4 linked regions of the Caenorhabditis elegans genome follow. The protein of the gene in region 3 purifies or fractionates together with the protein of the main gene of each other region. This does not show direct contact. Each region holds a gene or a part of one and is shown on either strand. Other genes may lie near its edges.

Region 1 (5,204 bases), on a different chromosome or scaffold from region 3:
TTTTTTTCCTGAAAAAAACGTGAAAAATCAATAAAAATATCACAAAAAGGTCGTAAAATCCTTCAAAAAATCAATAAAAATTGGCAAAAAAAAATCGATAAAAATCTACAAAATTCATATGATTTTAAACACAAAAAAAACGGAGAAAAATCTACTTTTTCGAAAAAAAAAAATTTCAGGCTCTAATTATAGATTTTCAGTCGAATTGTGGCTTCTTTCCTGATATTTTGATTAATTTTAACAAAATTTTCAGATCCAAATCCGTCTGCCAAACAATCAGCGTCTCGTCGGTATTTTTAATCATTCTCACACACTTGAAGCAGTTCGTACATTCATTTGCACGTGAGTTTTCAGCCGGAAAAAGCTATTAAAAACTCTCATTTTTCACTAGAAAAAGTAGATTTTTAGAAAATTTCGAATTAAAAAAATAAAAAAATCATCTAAAAATCACATTTTTAGCCTGAAAAATTCGAAATTTTCCAATGAATAATTATTTTTTAATAATATTTTTCTGATATACACAGTGATAGAAAAATTACATTTTTCAAATTAAAAAATTACATTTTTCAAATTAAAAAATTACATTTTTCTAGTTTTTTCTTTCAAAAAACTCAAATTTTTTTAATTTAAAAATTTTGATTTTCCAGCGCCCGCCCAGATATGATCTACGCTCCATTCCAAATGATGGCTGCCTACCCTCCAAAACCATTTGAAGACGAATCACAGACTCTGAAGGATGCAAATGTGCTCAATTCGGTCGTCGCCGTGAAAATCTTGCCCACCACCAACTGAGGAGATTCCTGACGCTGCTTTTTTGGCGGGAAAATTGAAAATTGAAAATTTCATCTGAAAAAATTTCGAATTTCTACTCGTTTTTACCCCCCAAAACCTCTCAAATTCCCTGAAAATACCTGTATTTTACGCTAAATTATTTGATTTTTTCCCCCCATTTCCCAATATCGTTTTTTTTCTTTCTTCTATCACACTTTAATGCATAAAAAAAGTACACCGTTTTCTGTGAAAAATTGCGGCGATTTTTATTGATTTTTTGTTTTGGAATTTGCGAGTTTTTCAAGCTCTGAAATATTTTTTTTATTTTTTCCAGATTTTCAGAATTTTTCAATTTTTAGTGAAAAATGCACATTTTTTACAAATTTTCCATTAAAAATTCAATTTTAAAGTCAAATTTTGAATTTTTCAGATTTTTTCCCAATTTTTCAGAGAGAAAAATCCTTCTTCTGCGATTTTTTGGTGAAAAATTTAAAGTTTTCAAAAAATGTAAAAATTCACTTTTTTTGTTCCAATTTTCCACTGAAAAATCGATTTTTCCCTGATTTTTTTCAAAAAATTCAAGATTTTTCAGTGAAAAACTCGAAAAATATCATATTTCACAGGAAATATGGAGTTTTTCGCCAAAAAATTTATAAAAAATTTTTTTTTGAAAAAATTCACAAAATGCTTGGTTTTTCCTCCCCACATTCCGTTAAAATTTCCCATTTTTCCAACCAAATTTACATTACAGATGTCCCTGAAAGCGTGGCTGGGAATCGATAAAATCCAAAAGTTTGGCCAAATGGTCAAGGAGATTGGAGGTGTCAAAGCGGTGCTTAAGAAGCGTTATTTGTAAGTTTTCAGGTGGAAAAATGGCTGAAAATGCACTAAATTAGAAGAAAAACGGTCGAAAATTACCTGAAAATCATAAAAATCGAAAAAAAAATCGGTGGCCGAACTTTTCGATTTTCTAGGCCATCAGGTGAAAAGTTAGTCCCCCACACAAAACTGACCTGACCTATCACGCAGAATGTCAAAACAAAATTGGGGGACTAATTTTTCACTTGGTGGCCTAGAAATCCAAAAGTTCGGCCACCGATTTCTGACAAATTTTTAATTTTTTTTTTCGATTTACAACAATCGAATTTTATTTTTTAAAAATACATCAAAAAATTGATGGCCTAACTTTTCGATTTTCTAGGCCGTCATGTGAAAAGTTAGTCCGCGGGTTGATAATCGCTTGAAATCACCTGAAAACGAGCGAAAATCAGCGGGGACTAACTTTTCAGCTGGTGGCCTAGAAAATCGAAAAGTTCGGCCACGAATTTTTTTTTTGAATTTTTCAGTATTAAAAAATTCAAAAAATGTACGAAATTTGTCATGAAATCTGTCAGAAATCGGAGGCTGAACTTTTTTGGATTTCTAGGCCACCAAGTGATAAATTAGTCCCCCAATTTCATTTGGACATCCTGCGCGATACGTCAGGTCAATTTTGTGTGGGGGACTAACTGTTCACCTGATGGCCTAGAAAATCGAAAAGTTCGGCCACCGTTTTTTTTTTAATGAGTTTTATGCCAATTTTACACTATTTTCGCTTAATTTCATCAAAATTTCGGTTGAAAAATTGAATTTTTCGAATGACTCGCGTCGGAAAAATGACCGGAGAAACATAAAAAACCGAAAAAAAAATCGGTGGCCGAACTTTTCGATTTTCTAGACCAGCGAGTGAAAAGTTAGTCCGCGCGGGCTTATAATCGCTTAAAATCACCTGAAAACGAGCGAAAATCGATGGGGACTAACTTTTCACATGGTGGCCTAGAAAATCGAAAAGTTCGGCCACCGATTTCTTTTGTTTTTTAATGATGATTTTTAGGCCAATTTTACACCATTTTCGCTCAATTTACATAAAAATCTTCTCAAATTTTCAGAATGGACGCGACCCGCGTCGGAACACTCGTCGGTTCGGACAATTTCGGCAATCGTTACTACGAGAATAACGCGTATTTCGTGCCACGCAACCGTTGGGTCGAGTTTCCCGACAAAGTTTGGCTCGACTATGATGCGACTCAAGTGCCACCGGAATGGTACGCAAAAAAATGACGACGAAAAATGAACAATTTTGCTGTTTTTTACACGAAAAATGGCCTAGATCGGCCTAAAATGGCCTAGAAATGGCCTAGAAAATGGCCTAGAATGGCCTAGACAAATACAAATAAAAATAGATGACATAAAAATCATGAAAATCGAAAAAAAAATCGGTGGCCGAACTTTTGGGTTTCTAGGCCACCAGGTGAAAAGTTAGTTCCACCACTCAAATTTGGCCCAAATCACTCAAAATGTCCGGAAAACATGGTGGACTAACTTTTCACCTGGTGGCCTAGAAATCCGAAAGTTCGGTCACCGATTTTCAAGCCTAATTTTCGTGTAAAAATGCGCAAAATTGTTCATTTTTTCATCATTTTCTTTAATTTTCCAGGCACTCTTGGCTCCACCACATCACCGATGATGCTCCATCGGTGAAGCCACCACCAACTCAGGATTGGGTACTCGAACATAAGGAGAACACCAGTATCTACGCGTAGGTTTTCGACGGAAAATTGGATTTTTAGACGAATTTCAATGAAAAAATCAAGAAAAACGGTGAAAAATGGCCTAAAAATCATGAAAATTGAGAAAAACAAAGTTGGTGGCCGAACTTTTTGGATTTCTAGGCCACCAATTTTTTTTTCTTAATTGCCGTAAATTTTTAAGAAAAGACATCACGGGGACTAGTTTTCCACCTGGATGGCCTGAAAGTCGTCAAATTTTGAAAAAAAAAAAGTTGGTGGCCGAACTTTTCATTTTCTAGGCCATCATTTTTTCGGACGTTTTTCGCCTATTTTTGGTCAATTTTCGCAGATTCTTGAACAAAAAATATCCCGGAGACTAGTTTTCCACCTGGATGGCCTAGAAATCGTAAAATTTTAAAAAAAAAGTTGGTGGTCGAGCTTTTTGGTTTCCTAGGCCACCAATTTTTCTAACGGTTTTCGGCCATTTTTCTTGTTTTTTAAAGTCAATTTTTCACAAAAAACATCCCGGGGACTAATTTTCCACTCACATGGCCTAGAAATCGTAAAATTTTCAAACAAAAAAATGGTGACCGAACTTTTTGGTTTTCTAGGCCGCCATCTTTTTCTAACGGTTTTCGGCCATTTTTCTTGTTTTTTAAAATCAATTTTTCACAAAAAACATCCCGGGGACTAGTTTTTCACTCACATGGCCTAGAAGTCGTCAAGTTTCGAAAAAAAAGTTGGTGGCCGAACTTTTTGGTTTTCTAGGTCAACAATTTTTTTCAATTTTTAAACGATTTCCAGCTGTTTTAGCTCGAGTTTCATATTTTTTTGGTCAATTTTTCCGCAAAAAACAGCTCGGGGACTCAAGAAATTGGTGGCCGAACTTTTTGAGTTTTCTAGGCCACCAATTTTTTTTTTCAATTTTTAACGGTTTCCAGCTGTTTTAGCTCGAGTTTCACATTTTTTTGGTCAATTTTTCCGCAAAAAACAGCTCGGGGACTCAAGAAATTGGTGGCCGAACTTTTTGGTTTTCTAGGCCACCATCTTTTTCTAACGGTTTTCGGCCATTTTTCTTGTTTTTTAAAGTCAATTTTTCACAAAAAACATCCCGGGGACTAGTTTTCCACTCACATGGCCTAGAAAACCCCTAAATTCCCAATTTTTCAGCGACAAAAAGTACGTTCCATACTCGACAACTCGTACCAAAATTCAAGGATGGCAACCAGGAGAGAAGCCACAATTCGACTGAAAATCTATAATTAGAGCCCCTGAAATTTTTTTTTTCGAAAAAGTAGATTTTTCTCCGTTTTTTTGTGTTTAAAATCATATGAATTTTGTAGATTTTTATCGATTTTTTTGCCAATTTTTATTGATTTTTTGAAGGATTTTACGACCTTTTTGTGATATTTTTATTGATTTTTCACGTTTTTTTCAGAAAAAAAATCTGATTTTTTCCCAGAAAATGAGCGTCGGAGAGCAGAAAAGCGTCCTGATGGTGTGTTTAGGTACGGTTTTTAGGTGAAAAATAGGTGGCCGAGGTTTGGGTTTCTAGGCCAGCAATTTTTTATTTGGAAAATTGACGAAAAAACGGTCAAATTTGCGCGAAAAAAATTGGTGGCCGACTTTTTAAAAAATTTAGGCCACCGATTTTTTTTCGGGTTTCCCATCGAATAATTAGTAATTCAGCACATTTTTGTGAAAAATTGGAAGAAAATAAAATTTTAAAAGTCGATGGCCGAACTTTTGAATTTCTAGGCCACCAACTGAGATGTTAGTCCACAAGCGTCTTCTTGCCATTTTGAATTGTGACTAGCTATTTTCAGATGGGCTGGACTAACTTTTCACTTGATGGCCTAGAAATCCAAAAGTTCGGCCACCGAT
Region 2 (4,051 bases), on a different chromosome or scaffold from region 3:
ACGGGCCTCAATCATCCTAACTCTCATGTTGAAATACTCTTGGGGGTCAGAAGGATCCGCCTCTCGCACAACTTTTGGAGCATCAGCGACGGCAACATTCAGCTTAGCAGCATCCTTCTCCAGACGTTCTTGTTCCTTCTTGGCTTGCTTGGCGAGCCTCTTCTGCTCACTGAAAGAAACATTATTGATCAATGGTGCTGGTTGTCACAAAATCTGAGGACACGTCGACTAACCGAGTGTTTTGGCTCAGAAAAACTGACGTCCCGAAAAATGAAGACGACCTACGTCGCAAGAATGAAACAGCCGATCGGCTCAACATCGAATGAGACACGATCATCATTTTTCTCACTTACTTCTTACTCAATTTGGCCTCTGGCTCGCTCATTGCCCTGTGACAGTGCTTGAAAGTGGCTGAAAAATAATAATCAATTAATTTAAGAAAAATTGCATGGAATTATGGAAATAAAGCAGAAAACGGAACAATTCAACTCATGTTTTTAGAAAATCCTAAAACTAAAGCGAAATATCTCAGTCTGAAGATTAGGGAAATTAAGACACACTTGACGCATTTTTATTGTTGTCTCAGATAAGTTTGTATCGGAATTATGGACAAAAAGCGAAAAATCTAAATGAAAATGAGCTGAAAACATCTCAAAATGCATTTTAAAATGCTCAATTCCTCCCAAATTTTGTAGCGTTCGGACATTGGCTTTAGAGCGCGTTTGTATTTAATGAGGAAACGGAAAACGGAGGAAAGAAATTTAGAGATTCGATGGTAGTTTTTGGAAGGCTATCTTTATTATTTAACTCAAAAAGTTATTCAAAGCTTTAAAATAATATTTTCAATATTTTAAGCAAAGTTTTTATTAACGCATTCAATGGATAAAACGCGCATGAATGAAGCAGCATTTCTACGGAATACATTTCTCCAGTGTCGGTAGTGTCTCCAATTTAGAACTTTCCAAAGTTCATTCAACCATAAGCTAGTAATTTAATTTTTGTTTTGTTTTATTTATAAAGCACAAAGCTTATCAGAGTTGCGTTTTCTTGTTTAATCTGATGGAAAGTGTTGCAATATTTGTTGTGAAATCATTTGTTTTAGTTAAAAAAATATCAGTAAGAAAACTGATTATTCGAAATGGAGCATTTTAAAATTGTTAGGCGAATATTGAATTGTTGATTAAAATATATATCAAACTTTTAAAAATCGCGTTTGATGTTCATAATTTTTAGGCTGTAAATCTAATTTATGATTATCTCCCCTATTGTAGCACTTTAGGTGTTAGAAAATGGCAGTTCAGAGACAGTTCAACGTTTTTGCATCGAAATGTTGTGTAATGATAGTTTATATTGTCATCATCATTTGATCTTAGATATATGAACATTGCTCTCACTCTCTTTCTTTACTGTCTCCAGTGTGATGTCACAGAAGAACAGTTGACTTTCAATTGCACGTGGGAACTCTTGAAAAGCAAGTGCAACTCCTGTATGAAAGAATCAAGGAGCTCCTAGGAGTATCGAAACCGCCAAAGTTCACAGCTACACGTAACTAATCTCAATTCTTTTATGAGAACGACAAAACCTTATTAGCACTACTTTTGACTAGAAAATCTATATCTCTCTTTCCTTCTTTTTTTTTACAGAAAGTGCAATTTCGCTCCACCGCCGTACTAGCTTTTCTATTTAACCATCATAATCTTTCCTTTCTTCTGTTCTGTCTCTCATTCATCTCGATCCGAACGAATTTCTTCATTCTCTTATCTTATTTTCAAAAACAAGTTGTGTCGAGTCAATTCTTTTTTTTTTCAGAATGTTGTCATCGTCTGGACACGCAATTCGCCGCGGAATCACCACATCTGCTGCACTATCAAACAAACATGCTTTCATCGTCGGAGCCGCCCGTACACCTATTGGATCATTTCGTTCTTCTCTCTCTTCGGTAACTGCTCCAGAGCTCGCCTCGGTTGCCATCAAAGCAGCATTGGAGCGTGGAGCAGTGAAGCCGAGTTCAATTCAGGAGGCGAGTGTGTTCTTTGTTTGCATTTTTCTATACTAGTAATATCTGAAATTCTATATCACTTCCAAAAACTACCGATTTAATCTTAAAATGCCTCAATTTCAGGTGTTCCTTGGTCAAGTCTGTCAAGCAAATGCTGGTCAAGCTCCCGCTCGTCAAGCAGCTCTTGGAGCCGGACTCGATCTTTCGGTTGCTGTTACCACCGTCAATAAAGTGTGCTCTTCTGGGCTGAAAGCAATCATTCTTGCTGCCCAGCAAATTCAAACCGGTCATCAAGATTTTGCCATTGGCGGAGGAATGGAGAGCATGTCACAAGTACCATTTTATGTTCAAAGAGGAGAGATCCCATATGGTGGATTTCAAGTGATTGTGAGTTTAATTTATTTTTCTAAAAAATATTAAATTGTCTAAAAATAGTCTTTAAACTTCTTTAAAAGAAATCAATGCTCACATTTTCTTATTCAGGATGGAATCGTCAAAGACGGACTGACCGATGCTTATGATAAAGTTCACATGGGAAACTGCGGAGAGAAGACTTCAAAAGAAATGGGAATTACACGTAAAGACCAAGACGAATATGCTATCAACAGCTACAAAAAGTCAGCTAAAGCATGGGAGGTTTGTCAACTGATTGCTCTTTGTGCGTTTTATGATTCCATGTTGTTTAGAATGGAAATATCGGACCAGAAGTGGTGCCAGTGAACGTCAAATCAAAGAAGGGAGTCACGATTGTTGATAAAGATGAAGAGTTCACAAAAGTCAATTTCGACAAGTTCACCTCGCTGAGAACTGTTTTCCAGAAAGGTTTGTACTATTCTTATCGTGAAAATTGAAATCAACATAATATATTAAGACGGAACTATCACTGCTGCTAATGCTTCAACATTGAACGACGGTGCAGCTGCTGTCATTGTTGCCTCACAGGAAGCAGTTTCCGAGCAAAGCTTAAAGCCTCTGGCCCGAATTTTGGCTTATGGAGATGCCGCCACGCACCCACTCGATTTCGCTGTAGCACCAACTTTGATGTTCCCAAAAATTCTTGAAAGAGCAGGAGTGAAGCAATCAGATGTTGCTCAATGGGAAGTTAATGAAGCCTTCTCATGTGTTCCCCTTGCTTTCATCAAAAAACTAGGAGTCGATCCATCCCTTGTGAACCCACATGGAGGAGCTGTTTCAATTGGTCACCCCATCGGGTATGTTGCCATATCAGTTGACCGTTCTTTCCGCATTCTTATCGTAAATTTGTTATCGATTATTTTTCTTTCAGAATGTCCGGAGCCCGCCTCATCACTCATCTTGTGCACACACTCAAAAGTGGCCAAATCGGAGTTGCTGCCATTTGCAATGGAGGTGGTGGCTCAAGTGGAATGGTTATCCAGAAATTATAGATTTATAATTTAACTTTTTTCGTTTAAAGTTTGTTACCTTTTTTCACGATTAGCTTGTATTTATGTATTTTTCGCTCATATCGAAACTCCGGTAAATAGATTCATTTATTATTTTGATTATCTACTTCTCTTTCATTGGTTTCAAACCAATTTCAGTTATCTTTTTTTATTCGTATGCGATTTTTCTAATAATCCAAAGTTCAGACAGTCTATCGCAATGTCGGATAAAAAAGTTTTCATTCTGAGTGGAGCTCGCACTCCCATCGGAGCTTACCGAGGATCTTTCGCTAACTTTGGCGCAGTTGAGCTCGGAACGGTCGCTGCAAAGGCAGCAATTGAACGATCAGGTTAAATTACTGATAATGAAATTTTGAAACAAATATTAAATATTTTTAGGAGTTGCTCCGGAGAAAATCGAAGAAGTAATTGGTGGATGCGTACTTCCGGCCGGTCTAGGACAAAATGTGACCCGACAGATCTCTTTGTCGGCTGGTCTTCCAGTAACAACGCAAGCTGTTACGGTGAACAAGGTTTGCTCTTCTTCGATGAAAGCCTTGGTGACAGCAGCTGTGGAAATCAAAGCAGGATATTATGACACTATTCTTGTTGTTGGAACTGAAAATATGAGTCAAGTTCCATTTTACGT
Region 3 (7,640 bases):
CGAGAGACCATAACCAACATAGATTACGCAGACGACACAGAGTGTGGGCAGTCCGGGGGGCATGTCATCGCAAAACTGCCTGGCCTTTAAGTGAGTGTTTCCTTTTTACGAAGGTTCGGCTTTATAGCAAATCCATTCAAATCCAGAATCTCTCAAGTTTTTAATTAGCTCATCAAAATTACAAAAACTTTGGCCTAGAGTACTTTCAAATTTATCTACGTGATAAACCTCAAGTCTGGGAGGTCGCCAAGTTCCTTGTCTTGGCAAAAAAAACCTGTGAATCAACTTTTCCTGTTGTCGTGTATTCCACGTTGATTTTTTTCCTCTTTGTCCTCTATATCTCCTCCCAATTCTTGGCTTTCCTCCTATGTACTTCGGAAATAGATGTCCACCGCCGCCTCTCCCTCCCCAAAAAAAAGATGAGCTTGAGAAGAGTGAAAACGAGAGAAATATCTTTTCTCACGCAGGGAGCATCAGAGCATAGCAGCAGTTGACGGGAGCCTTTATGTTTTCTATTCCCTTTCTTCATTTTTTTCTTACATTCCAGTTGGTAAATATTGGGTGGAGGTAGGAGAGGGAGAAAGGTAGAGACAGAATGAGATAACAGACTATTCGGTTTACTTATGTTACTTTGTGGCCTAGTTTTGGTGTAGTATTATTATTTTCTTGCAATTAGGGATTTTGCTTTGTTGGAATTTTTGCAACTTCTTGAGTAGTGGGGCCCTTAAGGTTTCAGATAGTACTCAAGTTGTTGATGGAAAATAACAGAAAATTCAAGGAATTTTTGTCCAACTAAGGATCTCGATGGCACCTCAGCATGTGCACTATTTTTCCACAGTGTATGTGTGTGTGTGTAATATAACAAGTCAAAGATCCTATCTCGTTTTCCCTGACAGTTTGGCCTCCTTAGAGTTTACATCTACATCCCTGGTCGGGTGAGAAATCTAAATTTGGGTGAAATTATACCCTTCCGTCCAACTAAACTCCTTGTACACCTTTTTTTATCAAGGTGTAGTCATTTACACCAGACTACACTACGTTCTTCCCTCCCCAGTTCTTGATTACTCGTATTTTGTGTTTCTAGATATTTTTGGCAATTTAAGTTTGGACCAGGGGTGTGCGGCAATCGAAAATTTCCAGCAATCGGCAATTTCGACATTTGCCGGTTGTCAAAATTTTCGGCAATCGGCAATTTCGGCAACTACCGATCTTGGGAATTTTCGGCAATCGGCAATTTCGGCAATTGCCGGTTTTCAAAATTTCAAGGAAGCGAAGTATCTCTGATATCATTTGTCTGAGTAACATTGAGATCATGGGGATCAAATTTTGTTTCACGCACGTTTTCATTCTCTGTGTCTGTCAACATTATTGTACTAGAGAACGCTCAGCACACGATTTTATCACATTTTTCATCTTATCGCATGTTGTTTCCCTGGTTATCATCTGATTTAGGCAAAATAGTTCAATATCTAAATTTAAGCTTCGCGCTAAAAATTATTGTCAATAGAGCGCGTTTGCAGCTAGCCATATTTGTCTCTTTTATTTTATATTAATTTACATGCGAAATTCTCGTTGATTTCCTTGATTTCCTTGAAATCATTTTTTTAGTTTTCAGGCCCTCGTGAATGTCTTTCGATCATCTGTTGACGTCATCAAAACGACGAGAACTCCTACAAAACTTGGGAATCGGACACGGAAGCGATGTGTTCTCCACGGGACTGTTCCGTAAAGCAGAATGCAATGCAGAAACTGCAATTAGTCAAAGATGTAAATATTTAATTTTACAATTAATAAATTATATTTAAGTTATTTATTTTTTTCAGCCATTCCACGAGCGAATCCAGACCATCTTCGTCCGATTTTCGATCGATTCGCGACTAAAGAAATAAAAGGGAAGAAGTTGATGACCCCAGAGGATTTCATTCGAGGATACTTAGGTCTTTACACGGAAGAAAACTATAATAAGGAGACTGTTCGTCTTCTTGCTTCCGCCGCAGACACTACAAAAGATGGAGACATCTCATTCGAAGAGTTCTGCGCTTTTGAAGCTCTCTTGTGCAGCCCGGATGCTCTTTATCTCACCGCTTTCGAACTTTTCGATCGAAACGCTTCGGATACCATTAGCTGTGATGAGTTTGAAGCTGTGATTCGGCATACTCAGCCTTTGCATGATCAGGACTTTGATTTTAGTTCGGAATTCATCAAGAGATATTTTGGAGCGTAAGTTTTTGAGAAATCTCACTGAAAAATATTTATTCAGATTTTCAAATTTTAAATTGCAGCGAAAAAAATATAATTCACTATAAAAATCGATAAAATCAAAATTTTAATTTTAAAAAAAGTTTTTTGGGTTCTTAATTTTTTTGAAAGAACATTTTCAAAATTTTTCAAAATTTTTTTCCTTTTTTTGAACGAAGAACTGAACATTTTTGATTTTCTCTTCAAATGGTGGTGTACTGAAAGCTGAGAAAAATTATTACATGACTATTAAATGGCAAATCTTCCCCTGATCCGAATATCTAAGTGAAAAAATTCAAAAAAAAAACCTCTCTGGCGCGTAAATTCGGCGTTTGAAAAATACCATGGGTGCAAAAATGAAATTCGCGATTTCAAGCAAAAATATAAAATAAGGGAAATTTTTTGAATTTTTTCACTTTGACATTCGGAGTCGGGAGAAAATTTGGAGTTATTTAAAAATATTTCTCAGAATTCGGTACTCCACCTTTAAACTTTTCCCGGTTGGTAAATATATTTTTTTAACTCGAAAACTGCTCCATATTTCCACATATAAAAATTTTAATTATTTCAGTGACAAACAACGAAACGTGAATTATCATTCATTCTGTCAACTTCTTCATGATTTCTACGAAGAACAGGGTATCCAGGCATTCAAAAGATACGATAAAAATGGAAATGGAACCATCTCATCACTGGATTTCCAACAAATAATGACTACTGTCAAAGGACACTTGCTCACGGATTTCGTTCGGCATAACCTCATTGCGGTGTCTGGCGGCGGCGCCAGTGGACACAAGGTGAGAAAAAAACATCTGAATTTAAATTAATTTTGCTTGAAAATTTTCGGAAAAAGTTGGAAATTCTGAAGTATATTCAAAAATGGAAATTGAATTTTGTCATAAATGAAAACGTCGGTCTTTTCAAAAATGACTGGAAACTGATTTTCGAAAAATTCGAAAAATATCAATAAATAAGATATTCTAGATTTCCGAGTGTTTCCCATAATTTTAAAGTAAAATCCTCATTGTTTCTCTGATTTTTGCTCTGGTTTTTAATTATTATTTTACTAATTCTGATTTTCTTTTTTTTTTGAAATAGAATTCCTTAGTATTGGAAGTGAGTTTTCCAAATGTTGTATAGTGGAGTGATATAGCATGTTCATTCGTAGATTCCCAAGTTTTCTAATTTTTTTTGGAAGTGGTTTCCTTCTTTTTCAGTTTTCCGACACTCGAGGTGGATTTGTAAGTTTTCTTTTCTGTCATTTTTTGGGTGTCCTTTGTTTTGGTTTCGTGATTTGTAGGTAGGCCAAACGAAAAATCAGCATGCTATAAAAATTCTTAGTCGATATTGTGTAAGTAATAATTAAACCGCTTAGAAACCATAAATAGAAATGCAACAAAGTACAAACAATTTCGAACAATTTTTTATATTCGGATTTTTAGAAATGTGGTCGAGACAAAATTATTTAAATAAAAAGAGTTAAAAAATATTTTTTTTGCTTTCATTCTTTTTTCAAAATTTCAAAGAAAAAAGCTAAACTCACTTTAGCTATAATCTCAAAACTTTTCAACTTGTTCTAGTGGTCGGAAAATGATTTTTTAAACTACTTAAGAATTTCGCATGTGTTGGTCGATTCGATCTTCGAAAGGTTTTCAGTCGATATACACCCGTTCGGTAACTTGTTGGCTGAAGTTTTTGCGAGCAAGAAAACACACGAGATTCTATGATATTCGGGCTGATTTTTGCATGATTTCTTAAGTTTCCTATGTTCAATGTATGTTTCTTCGTTCTGTCCTGCACCATGTCTTCCTCAAGAAGCCAATACCTCTCCAGAATCTCGATTCAATAAAAACGTTTCAATTTCCAGGTGACCTTCCCTTACTATGCTGCTTTCAACAGTCTTCTCGCCAAAATGGAACTTATCAAGCGTGTCTACGTATCGACGACACGTGGAAATTTGGACATTGAGATGACGAAAGAAGAGTTTCTGCATGCAATTCAAAGTTATACACAAGTTACTCCTTATGAAGTAAGCAGGAAATTCAGATATTCCCAAAAAACCAAAAATTGATTGAAATACGGAATCATCTTTATAAGCAAGGATGTCATTTTTATATTTTCGATGTTTTTCAGGAAAGATCGGAAAATCTAAAATTTTTAGATTTTCTGAAACAATCAAAAAATATAATAAAAATAAAGTTATTTTTAAAGTAATTTTTTAAAATGATTTTTCAATTTTTTCCAGGTCGAAATCCTGTTCCACTTGTCAGAGTTGAATCATCCAGGACGGAAGACGCTCTGTCTAAAGGACATTCAGGCAATTGATCCTGAACGTCTGAAGCGTGTTTCACAAATGGATCGACTTATCAACATCAAAGCTGTGCACCATAAAGATGACAGAGGTGTTGGAACTGCGGTAAGAATTTTTTGGCGCCGGAAATTTGTTTACAACTACCTATATTTAAATTCCTAAAAATTTCATATTGCAGTTCCTCGAATCCGCGTACCGTTTCTTATTAGGATCAGTAGCCGGAGCATGTGGAGCGACTGCAGTGTATCCGATTGATCTTGTGAAGACACGAATGCAAAATCAACGTACATCTGGCTCATTCGTCGGAGAAGTAATGTATAAAAACTCTCTGGATTGCTTCAAGAAAGTCGTGAAGTTCGAAGGACTCTTGGGTCTTTATCGTGGACTTTTGCCTCAAATTGTTGGTGTTGCACCAGAAAAAGCTATCAAATTGACAATGAACGATTATATGAGAGATAAATTCACTAAAGACGGAAAAATTCCACTTTATGGAGAAATTATCGCCGGAGGAACCGGAGGAATGTGCCAAGTTGTGTTCACAAATCCCCTGGAAATTGTTAAAATTCGATTACAAACTGCCGGAGAAGTACAACAAGCGGGAAAGAAGATCGGAGTATTCACGGTTCTTAAAGGTGCAGCATGGTGCATTCTCTGACGCACCACGTTTTCGAGATCTAGTTGCAAACAAAATCTACGAAAAGAAGATCTACCAAAACAAAATCTACGTTTTCGGGATCTGGCGGTGCCAAATCCTAGATCTTCTTTTCGAAGATCTCGTTTTCGACTAGATTTTTAAAACGTGGTGCCTTTTCTTCTGGCAATAAAGACACACAAGAAATCGCATAATACTCAAACTTTTAATTCAGAACTCGGTTTCCTTGGACTCTACAAAGGATCCCGTGCGTGCTTCCTTCGGGATATTCCGTTCTCAGCAATCTATTTCCCGGCATACGCTCACGCAAAACTCGCATCTGCTGATGAAGATGGAATGAACTCACCGGGAACACTTTTTGCTTCCGCGTTTATTGCTGGAGTGCCTGCCGCTGGTTTAGTAACACCTGCCGATGTTATCAAGACTAGGCTTCAAGTAGCTGCACGAGCTGGACAGACGACGTATAATGGAGTCATTGGTACAGTTTTTGCCTAGTTTCTTAGTTACTTACTCTGACAAAAAATTACAGATTGCGCTCGGAAGCTGATCAAAGAAGAGGGTCCAATGTCACTATGGAAGGGTACAGCTGCACGTGTGTGCCGTTCAAGTCCTCAATTCGCAGTTACTCTTCTCACTTACGAGGTTCTCCAGCGCCTCTTCTACGTCGATTTCGCCGGATCCCGGCCGACTGGTTCCGAGCTTGCGACGACGAAGACAATTCAAGACGAGTCGTCAACGAATCCGGATCACGTTGGTGGATACAAGCTGGCGGCAGCTACATTCTCCGGAATCGAACACAAGTTCGGATTGTTCTTGCCAAAGTTCGAAACGAGCAAGTAGAGAGTCCTATATATTCCCCGTAGTCAGTGTGTGTTGTTTTAGGTAAAGTGTTCGATCCTAGTCTTATTTTTGAACTTCTTCTGTATTTTACCTGTACTATGCTGATCAGGGATGAGTATTTTAATTTCACGAAATTTTGAATTTTCAGTATCTGAAAATGTATCGTTAAAAAATTATTTTAATGTGGCTTATACATATTTTGGCGGCGCTCTCATTATAGACATTCGAAAAATATTGAATTTCAGAGGTTTTACGCATCATTTTATGGCCCGATTTTCTGGAATTTAAAATCACGAAATTTCTTGAAAATTGGCTCAAAAAATTATGTGTAAAACCTCTGAAATTCAATATTTTTTAAGGTACTAGTCCTAAATCACCCAGCCACTTTTTCAAATAAAAACGTGTGGAGTTTTTGTATTTTTAGGCTTAGGAAATAACCATTTCTAAGCCTAAAGATGGAAAATGGACATCACGTTTTATTAAAATGGATAATATTAAAATGAGGGGAAATAATACACAAATCGAAAAAAAAGTGGCGGGGTGATTATATGCCAAAATATGTACGAGCCACATTAAAATCATTTATAGCCATACATTTACACCCACTGAAAATTCAAAATTTTCTTGAAATTAAAATGCCCACCCATAATGCTGATCCCCCGCTGCCCTCTCGCCTTCTCACCAGAGATGTGCTGCACCTTTTTTGAAACTTTCGGAAAATTTACAAAATTTTTCTTTTTTCGTTGTTTAGACGAAGTTTTTATTGGAAATTTAAATTATTTTGATTTTGATTGAAAGTGAAAAGTTCCTAAAAAAAAAGTAAAAATATTTCTGTGTTCCAATATAAATTTTCCAATTTTATCAACAAAAAAATGTGCCGCGCCTCTCTTCTCACCATCCCCTAGATTAAATTTTTGCGGGTGACTTTCTCTCCCTTCCCCACCCTCGCCCGTTCTATATATATATTATATACATAAGATTTATTTTCTTAATTTGTCCAAAAAGTGCCTCCCTTTCTGTTTTTCTCAGTTTTTTTTTCTTCAAATTTTGCATAAAAATCGCATTTTTATTTCACTACTACAGGAACACTGGGTTCGGCGCACACACAAAAAAAGAAACCGCTAGACATTCGAGTGGATATTTTTTACACACAAACAATTATTTTCCAATTATTTCGGTGGGCTCAAGTTAGTTTTGACGATGGCAGATGGAGTTGGAGCTGAAAATTTTATTTATTTCTCTCTGATTTTCAGAAATTTCAAGCCTACATTCTTGGAAGGAATACCAAGTTTGTTCAGCATGAGCTCTTCCGGTCTTTGCCACGTCAACAGCCTCTATCGGATAACAAAAGGCGGCCATCGTGGCCAAGCCGATGGTAGTGGTGAGGAGACGTCCGACCGGGCCACGTTTCAGGCCTAAAACGAATCCGGCCATTCCACCAACGGTGATTGCTGCGGCTTTTGGAAGAGCAGTCCATTCTTCTGTCAGATATGCATTGCATTTGGTCGCCGCTTTTTTTGTTTGAGTCATCGCACAATCGACAACTTTGAAGCGTTCCTGAAACAAAAATCGGTGATAAAAATATATTTTTCACAAAAT
Region 4 (5,161 bases), on a different chromosome or scaffold from region 3:
TTTTAAAAAACTCCCACGACATTGTTGAATGTAATTTGATAGGGTCCCAACACGTCTCTTTTTCTTCCCACTTTCTACGATAACTGAAAAGTCATGTACCCATTTGTTTAATACCTGATACTCTTGACCTTCTCCCTACTGGTAGCTCTTGATCTCTATCCTGTCTTGTTACTCTCAAGTGGTGGTGTCAACGATCCTTTAAAGCTTCATTAATTAATTGAGTATAAAGTCACGTGAAAATGTGAAAAACCTAATTTCCCCTCTCGGTTTCCTGTTAGTTTTTGTCCTCCTACAACTACTCCACGAGCACGCAGCTTCCCGATTGGTTCAACGAGAGCCAACGTAAGATTGTGGTGTTTGTCAACTTGAACTACACTGAATTTCTTGCATCATCATCATCCCAATACAGTTCTTACGAACGTCTGTCTAAACGCAATTTCAGCCAATTTTCAGCCAATCACCAGTGCTCCCCCCTCGCTTGCATTGCATTGTCCATTGTTTTGTCAGTGACCATTCACAACAAAAGTTGTAATGTGTTCGTCTCCGCGTGTCGGTGTCATTTCCTATCATCATTTCTCTAATTTCAATCCCAGAAAAGAGGTCCGATTGTCAGATAGTGTCAATCACTGGTAACTTGTCGGTACTTTGTCTTCTGCCTTCAGCTCGCCGTGTCGCATTGTTTATGCGCATTCAGGCCAACTGACTCCAGGCTGGCAACAAGTTTTGAATATCCGCCGGAATCTCCAAAGCCCAGGTCGCCAGATGTGCTACATTCTCGGGTGTGGTGGTTTGGTTTTACGATGTCGCACAGTGTGCAATGCGTCAAATCTCCCAGTCACTTTGATGCGAATAATTGCTGCGTTCACGCTCTCTGTATTTTGAATTTTTTGCAAATCAAGCTACAAAGTGGATTTTTTTTTCAATCATCGAATCCAAATGAAGTTCACATTTTCATAAAATAAGCTGATCAGTTAATGAAATTGGCAGCTAATAATTGAATTTAAATCTTCCTTCTACATTTGGTAAATGCATTATTTCCTCTATTAGTATTACACCCATTCTTTCAACTTGAAATTTGATTTCAAAAATATCAATTACTAAATGTATTTATATATAGCGCTCATTCCGTGTGTTCATAGTTTGTAGACTATGTAGTTTTTGAAAGAAATTAGTTGACGTTGTGATTAGTGAATTATTAGGGTGAGGATCGGGGTGCGGTAGTGTGTAGTACTGTGTAGTACTGATACTGTAGTGTACTGTAGAATTACTGTAGTTCTGCATGATAGATGTACTGTAGTAGTACGATAAAATACAGCGAAAGTACTCTGTAGGGACACTAGTTTGTTGAAAAAATTTCAGCTGATTCGGCTGTCGCTGGTCAATTAATAGCTAATCACAAAACTATATAAAAATGATTGAAAAATATTGTTTTAGTTGATAATTCAAATATGAGCATCTAAAGTTGAGCAACACTAATAGAAACAATTCGGTTGAGATAATAAAAGTATGAGAAATTTCTTTCAACACTTTTTTTTGAAAGATTTTTGATCTTGTCCATCAAGTTCATTATTTCGCAATTTTGTTCTATCATTGCTAAAAAGTAACCTCTGTTCGCCGCCCACCCAGATTTATCAGCTCAACACTAGACAGCGGGTGCAAGTTGTTTTTGTCAACGGCCCCCGGGATCATTGTCACCCTCCCACTGTTTTCGTCATTTCTCAACATAAAACGTAGTTTTACGGTCTCCTTTCAGTGTGTTCTGAACAGTTTTCATGTTTAAATCGTTTCTGCAAATAATGCTTTACGTCATAATATGTAGAATACATTAATTCTCAAGCACTTTCGTTTCATTTTTTATCAGTGAGTTTTCAAATTAAAAATTAATTTCTAAATTCTTTCAGCTCCTTGGTTAGGTAATTTCCAACTTCTTCTGTCGAACGCCGATTATAGAAAAGCGATCGAAATCATGAAATTGTTTATTATCCTGTTGATTCTTGCGAAAGTCGCGTACACTGTAAGTTTACGTTTTTTTCTTTTTACAGCAGAAATATTTGATGTTTTGTGATCAGAGAACCATCTCTAACATAATTACACGTTCCGATACAATAATTCCCTTATCAGTTGTATCAACTAGGCAAATTGAAAATGCAAAACTCAAAAGGTCTAAATACTCTAAACAAAATTTCAACTTTCAGAAATTCCATTGCCAAAGTGGGCTAAGACGAGTGACTGAGGTAAGTCTTTCAAAGGTCCATAATGAATAAATTCGTAGTTACCACAACAGCGGCAATTGCTCCTTTCTATTGTACTTTGTGTACTGCCCACTCACTTCCGCTCACAGATTAGATAATTGTGTAGTACTATAAATGTTTTTGGTGTAGTGAACGAATCGCTATGTAATTATTATCCGAAAAGGCATGTATACACACCATTTTATTGAACAAGTACCAGTCAATTTCTCGGTTCACTGAACTTGACCTCATCAAGCCAAACTATGAAATTAAGTGAATAAGTACAACGGATCTGGAAAATATATACCCAGTTTAGGGACAGAGGTTGAAATACATTTTCAGATTGGATTGATCGAGAAATGCCTGACAAAAGCAGAATGTTCCGGAATGCCACAGTGTTCGGATACTGTTCTTGTAAGTTCCCGGTTATCTAGCATCAGTTTTCAATTTTGATTTTCAGGGCGGATGTTGCTGCTTGGAAAATAAGAACTGTCTTCTCACTCGTGCACGCAGGCATTTAAAAAGGTATACATATACTTCAGATTTTGCAAAATCAAAAACAACATCTCTATTTTCAGCACAACCCCAGCTACAGATGATGACGATTCTGAAGAGGAAACCACAACAGTGAAATCTCACAAGAAAAAGTCCACAAAAACTACCGATGCTCCAAAAACCACAGAGGAACCAGCTAGCACCAAGAAATCCGAGAAGAAAAAGACTGAATCGAAAAAGGCTGTCAAAACGACCACAACAGCCGCTCCTGCTGAAAGTGCCGAGACTGAAACCCCATCGTCTGAAGAAAATAAGACGACGGAAGAAGAGTCTGGAAATGTATCTGCCGAGGAGGTCACTACTACATCTTCTACAGAAGTCTCGGTTGAAGAGGAGCAAACAGTGAAGTCTACGGAAGCATCTACCGAAGAAGAGAAGTCTACTGAAGCATCGGAGGAGGCTACTACCACTAGTTCGGAAACATCTGAGACCACCGAGGAAAGTGAGGAAGAAGAGACCACCACAAAGCCTGCAAAGACCCACAAGTCTTCAAAGACCACTACCACCACGACTGAAGCATCAACAAAGAAGGACTCTAAGAAGTCTCACAAAAAGACTAAGGAGGAAAAGGTTACCACAACCCCAGAACCATCAACGGAAGAATCATCGGAATCACCAGAGACTAGCGAGGAGCCACAGTCATCGGAATCCACACCAACGTCTGAAGAATCCACAGAACAATCTACAGAGAAGCCGAAGAAGGAGGACAAGAAGGACAAAAAAGACAAAAAGGACAAGAAACAAAAGAAGGAAGACAGCGAAGAAGATGACGATGATAAGAAGAGCAAATCCTCGTCTTCGTCCGATTCAAAGACCGACGAAAAATCGACTTCAGAATCTGATTCTTCATCGGAAGCTTCATCTGAGAAGACTGTCGAGGGCACTAAGAAGACATTGTTCTCCGGACCACCAGACTCTGATGAGGATGATGATGATGAAGGAGCAGGAGCTGATGAAGCATTCTTCTCTGAGAAACAAGCTACCGAGGCACCAGCCGAGCTCTCCAGAACTACTACTATGGCTGTGAAGAGCAAGGTTTGTAATGATAAAAAATATGAAAAAAAGAAGTTATTTCCAGAAAATGAAGAAGTCTGAGAGTGGATTCAATTTCATCCCGTTGGTCATTGCTGGTTTCGTTTTCTCTGGATTGGTTGGAGCCGGAGTTTACATGTTTAACAAAAAGTAATTAAATTTACCGATTAACATATCTAAAACAAATTTTAATTACAGGAAGGAGGAAAGAGAAAACTTGTCGACGGTTGATGAGAAAGAGCTGACCACGATTGCTCCTCTTCTTGAGGATCAGAAGGAGTCCGCCGAAGTCGACAGTGCTCCAGCTGCAGGGGGAAGAAAAGATGAGGATGACGAGTAGATTTCTAAGACCGCCGAATAACAACATTACATCGTATTCATCTTTTCTTTTTCAATTATGGTCTCGTTTTCTCACTCCCATCACATTTTCAGTTTTTGTCTTTTTATGAATTTTGAATTTTAAATTTTAAAGTTTAAATTTTGGATTATAATTTTCAGTTAAACTCTTTATTCTAATAATTGCAGTTATTATTCATTTTCATCCATCTTCTTCTCCTCCTCCTTTTTTACTTGTAAAACTGTTCACCCACACTCTTCACTGTCATTTTCCACTCCTCCTTCGCTTTGTCTCTTATAGGTATACAATTTTCCGACGAATTGCAGTTGTGACTTCGCGGGAATCTTTTTTTGTGTCGTTCTTACACGTTTTTAGTTTCTCTCCATGATTCATAAATTCGAGATTTTTTTCGTACCATGATGATAATAATTAATCTGATGCTGTACTATATTTGGTCTTTTTCTGATTTTCAATAAATTAAATCTTCAACAAAGATCACTAGATCCTTTCTCTTTCATAAATTCTTCGATGAGGACAAACAAATAAAAAATAAAATTTTCGAAAATGAAGATATCCGGAATTCCGCAGATTCAGCTATGTCAAACTTGCTCAACCTACTTTGAAAATAATTTAGGATTCACGTCAATTATTTACCAACTGAACCGAACAGCATAAATCAATACTGCCACAAATGTTGAATTTTTGTAAGTCAACATTTTGGTAAATTGGCAAATTCTCCAAAATTCCACTTGTAGGGCATTAAAAAATTGTGGAAATTTATTTAAAAAATTACAAATTGTGGCAAATCGTGATAGAAGAAAACTGAGTTTTTACTATTTTTTGGATTTAAATTTTAAAAAAATTAAAAAAAGGTTTTGATTCCTAGGAGCGGTTTCAAACTATTTTCCTCACTGACGATACTTTGCGTTTTCAGCGATTGCCAACTTTGAAATATTGCTACATTGCGAAAACTTTCCTGAATTAAGGAGACGTATAAAAGCTCTCA

Evidence for each region.
Region 1: the proteins of K02F3.2 (region 3) and ndua-12 fractionate together in Caenorhabditis elegans (co-fractionation; one large-scale study listed by BioGRID). This does not show direct contact.
Region 2: the proteins of K02F3.2 (region 3) and kat-1 fractionate together in Caenorhabditis elegans (co-fractionation; one large-scale study listed by BioGRID). This does not show direct contact.
Region 4: the proteins of K02F3.2 (region 3) and ZC449.5 fractionate together in Caenorhabditis elegans (co-fractionation; one large-scale study listed by BioGRID). This does not show direct contact.

What each region holds. Positions count from the first base shown.
Region 1 is NC_003282.8:2,716,153-2,721,356, reverse strand, and holds ndua-12 (putative NADH dehydrogenase [ubiquinone] 1 alpha subcomplex subunit 12), read left to right. Parts: upstream 1-1,522; coding exon 1,523-1,623; intron 1,624-2,699; coding exon 2,700-2,855; intron 2,856-3,247; coding exon 3,248-3,349; intron 3,350-4,490; coding exon 4,491-4,572; 3' UTR 4,573-4,670; downstream 4,671-5,204. Other genes in the region: ubxn-2 (UBX domain-containing protein 2), read left to right, coding at 254-342, 648-792; Y94H6A.7 (Low molecular weight phosphotyrosine protein phosphatase), read left to right, coding at 4,786-4,828. UniProt on the Caenorhabditis elegans protein: Accessory subunit of the mitochondrial membrane respiratory chain NADH dehydrogenase (Complex I), that is believed not to be involved in catalysis. Complex I functions in the transfer of electrons from NADH to the respiratory chain.
Region 2 is NC_003280.10:7,072,005-7,076,055, forward strand, and holds kat-1 (Acetyl-CoA acetyltransferase homolog, mitochondrial), read left to right. Parts: upstream 1-1,809; 5' UTR 1,810-1,810; coding exon 1,811-2,020; intron 2,021-2,122; coding exon 2,123-2,386; intron 2,387-2,482; coding exon 2,483-2,635; intron 2,636-2,685; coding exon 2,686-2,821; intron 2,822-2,870; coding exon 2,871-3,210; intron 3,211-3,284; coding exon 3,285-3,405; 3' UTR 3,406-3,507; downstream 3,508-4,051. Other genes in the region: kars-1 (Lysine--tRNA ligase), read right to left, coding at 1-169, 234-337; T02G5.7 (Acetyl-CoA C-acetyltransferase), read left to right, coding at 3,623-3,752, 3,802-4,051.
Region 3 is NC_003281.10:844,236-851,875, forward strand, and holds K02F3.2 (putative calcium-binding mitochondrial carrier K02F3.2), read left to right. Parts: upstream 1-1,625; coding exon 1,626-1,767; intron 1,768-1,823; coding exon 1,824-2,220; intron 2,221-2,809; coding exon 2,810-3,035; intron 3,036-3,455; coding exon 3,456-3,479; intron 3,480-4,105; coding exon 4,106-4,267; intron 4,268-4,483; coding exon 4,484-4,654; intron 4,655-4,727; coding exon 4,728-5,181; intron 5,182-5,415; coding exon 5,416-5,679; intron 5,680-5,730; coding exon 5,731-6,041; 3' UTR 6,042-7,109; downstream 7,110-7,640. Other genes in the region: moma-1 (MICOS complex subunit MIC27), read right to left, coding at 7,211-7,260, 7,310-7,598. UniProt on the Caenorhabditis elegans protein: Mitochondrial and calcium-binding carrier that catalyzes the calcium-dependent exchange of cytoplasmic glutamate with mitochondrial aspartate across the mitochondrial inner membrane.
Region 4 is NC_003284.9:5,034,514-5,039,674, reverse strand, and holds ZC449.5 (Proteoglycan 4), read left to right. Parts: upstream 1-1,901; 5' UTR 1,902-1,966; coding exon 1,967-2,014; intron 2,015-2,195; coding exon 2,196-2,234; intron 2,235-2,573; coding exon 2,574-2,645; intron 2,646-2,691; coding exon 2,692-2,756; intron 2,757-2,809; coding exon 2,810-3,821; intron 3,822-3,864; coding exon 3,865-3,968; intron 3,969-4,016; coding exon 4,017-4,158; 3' UTR 4,159-4,645; downstream 4,646-5,161.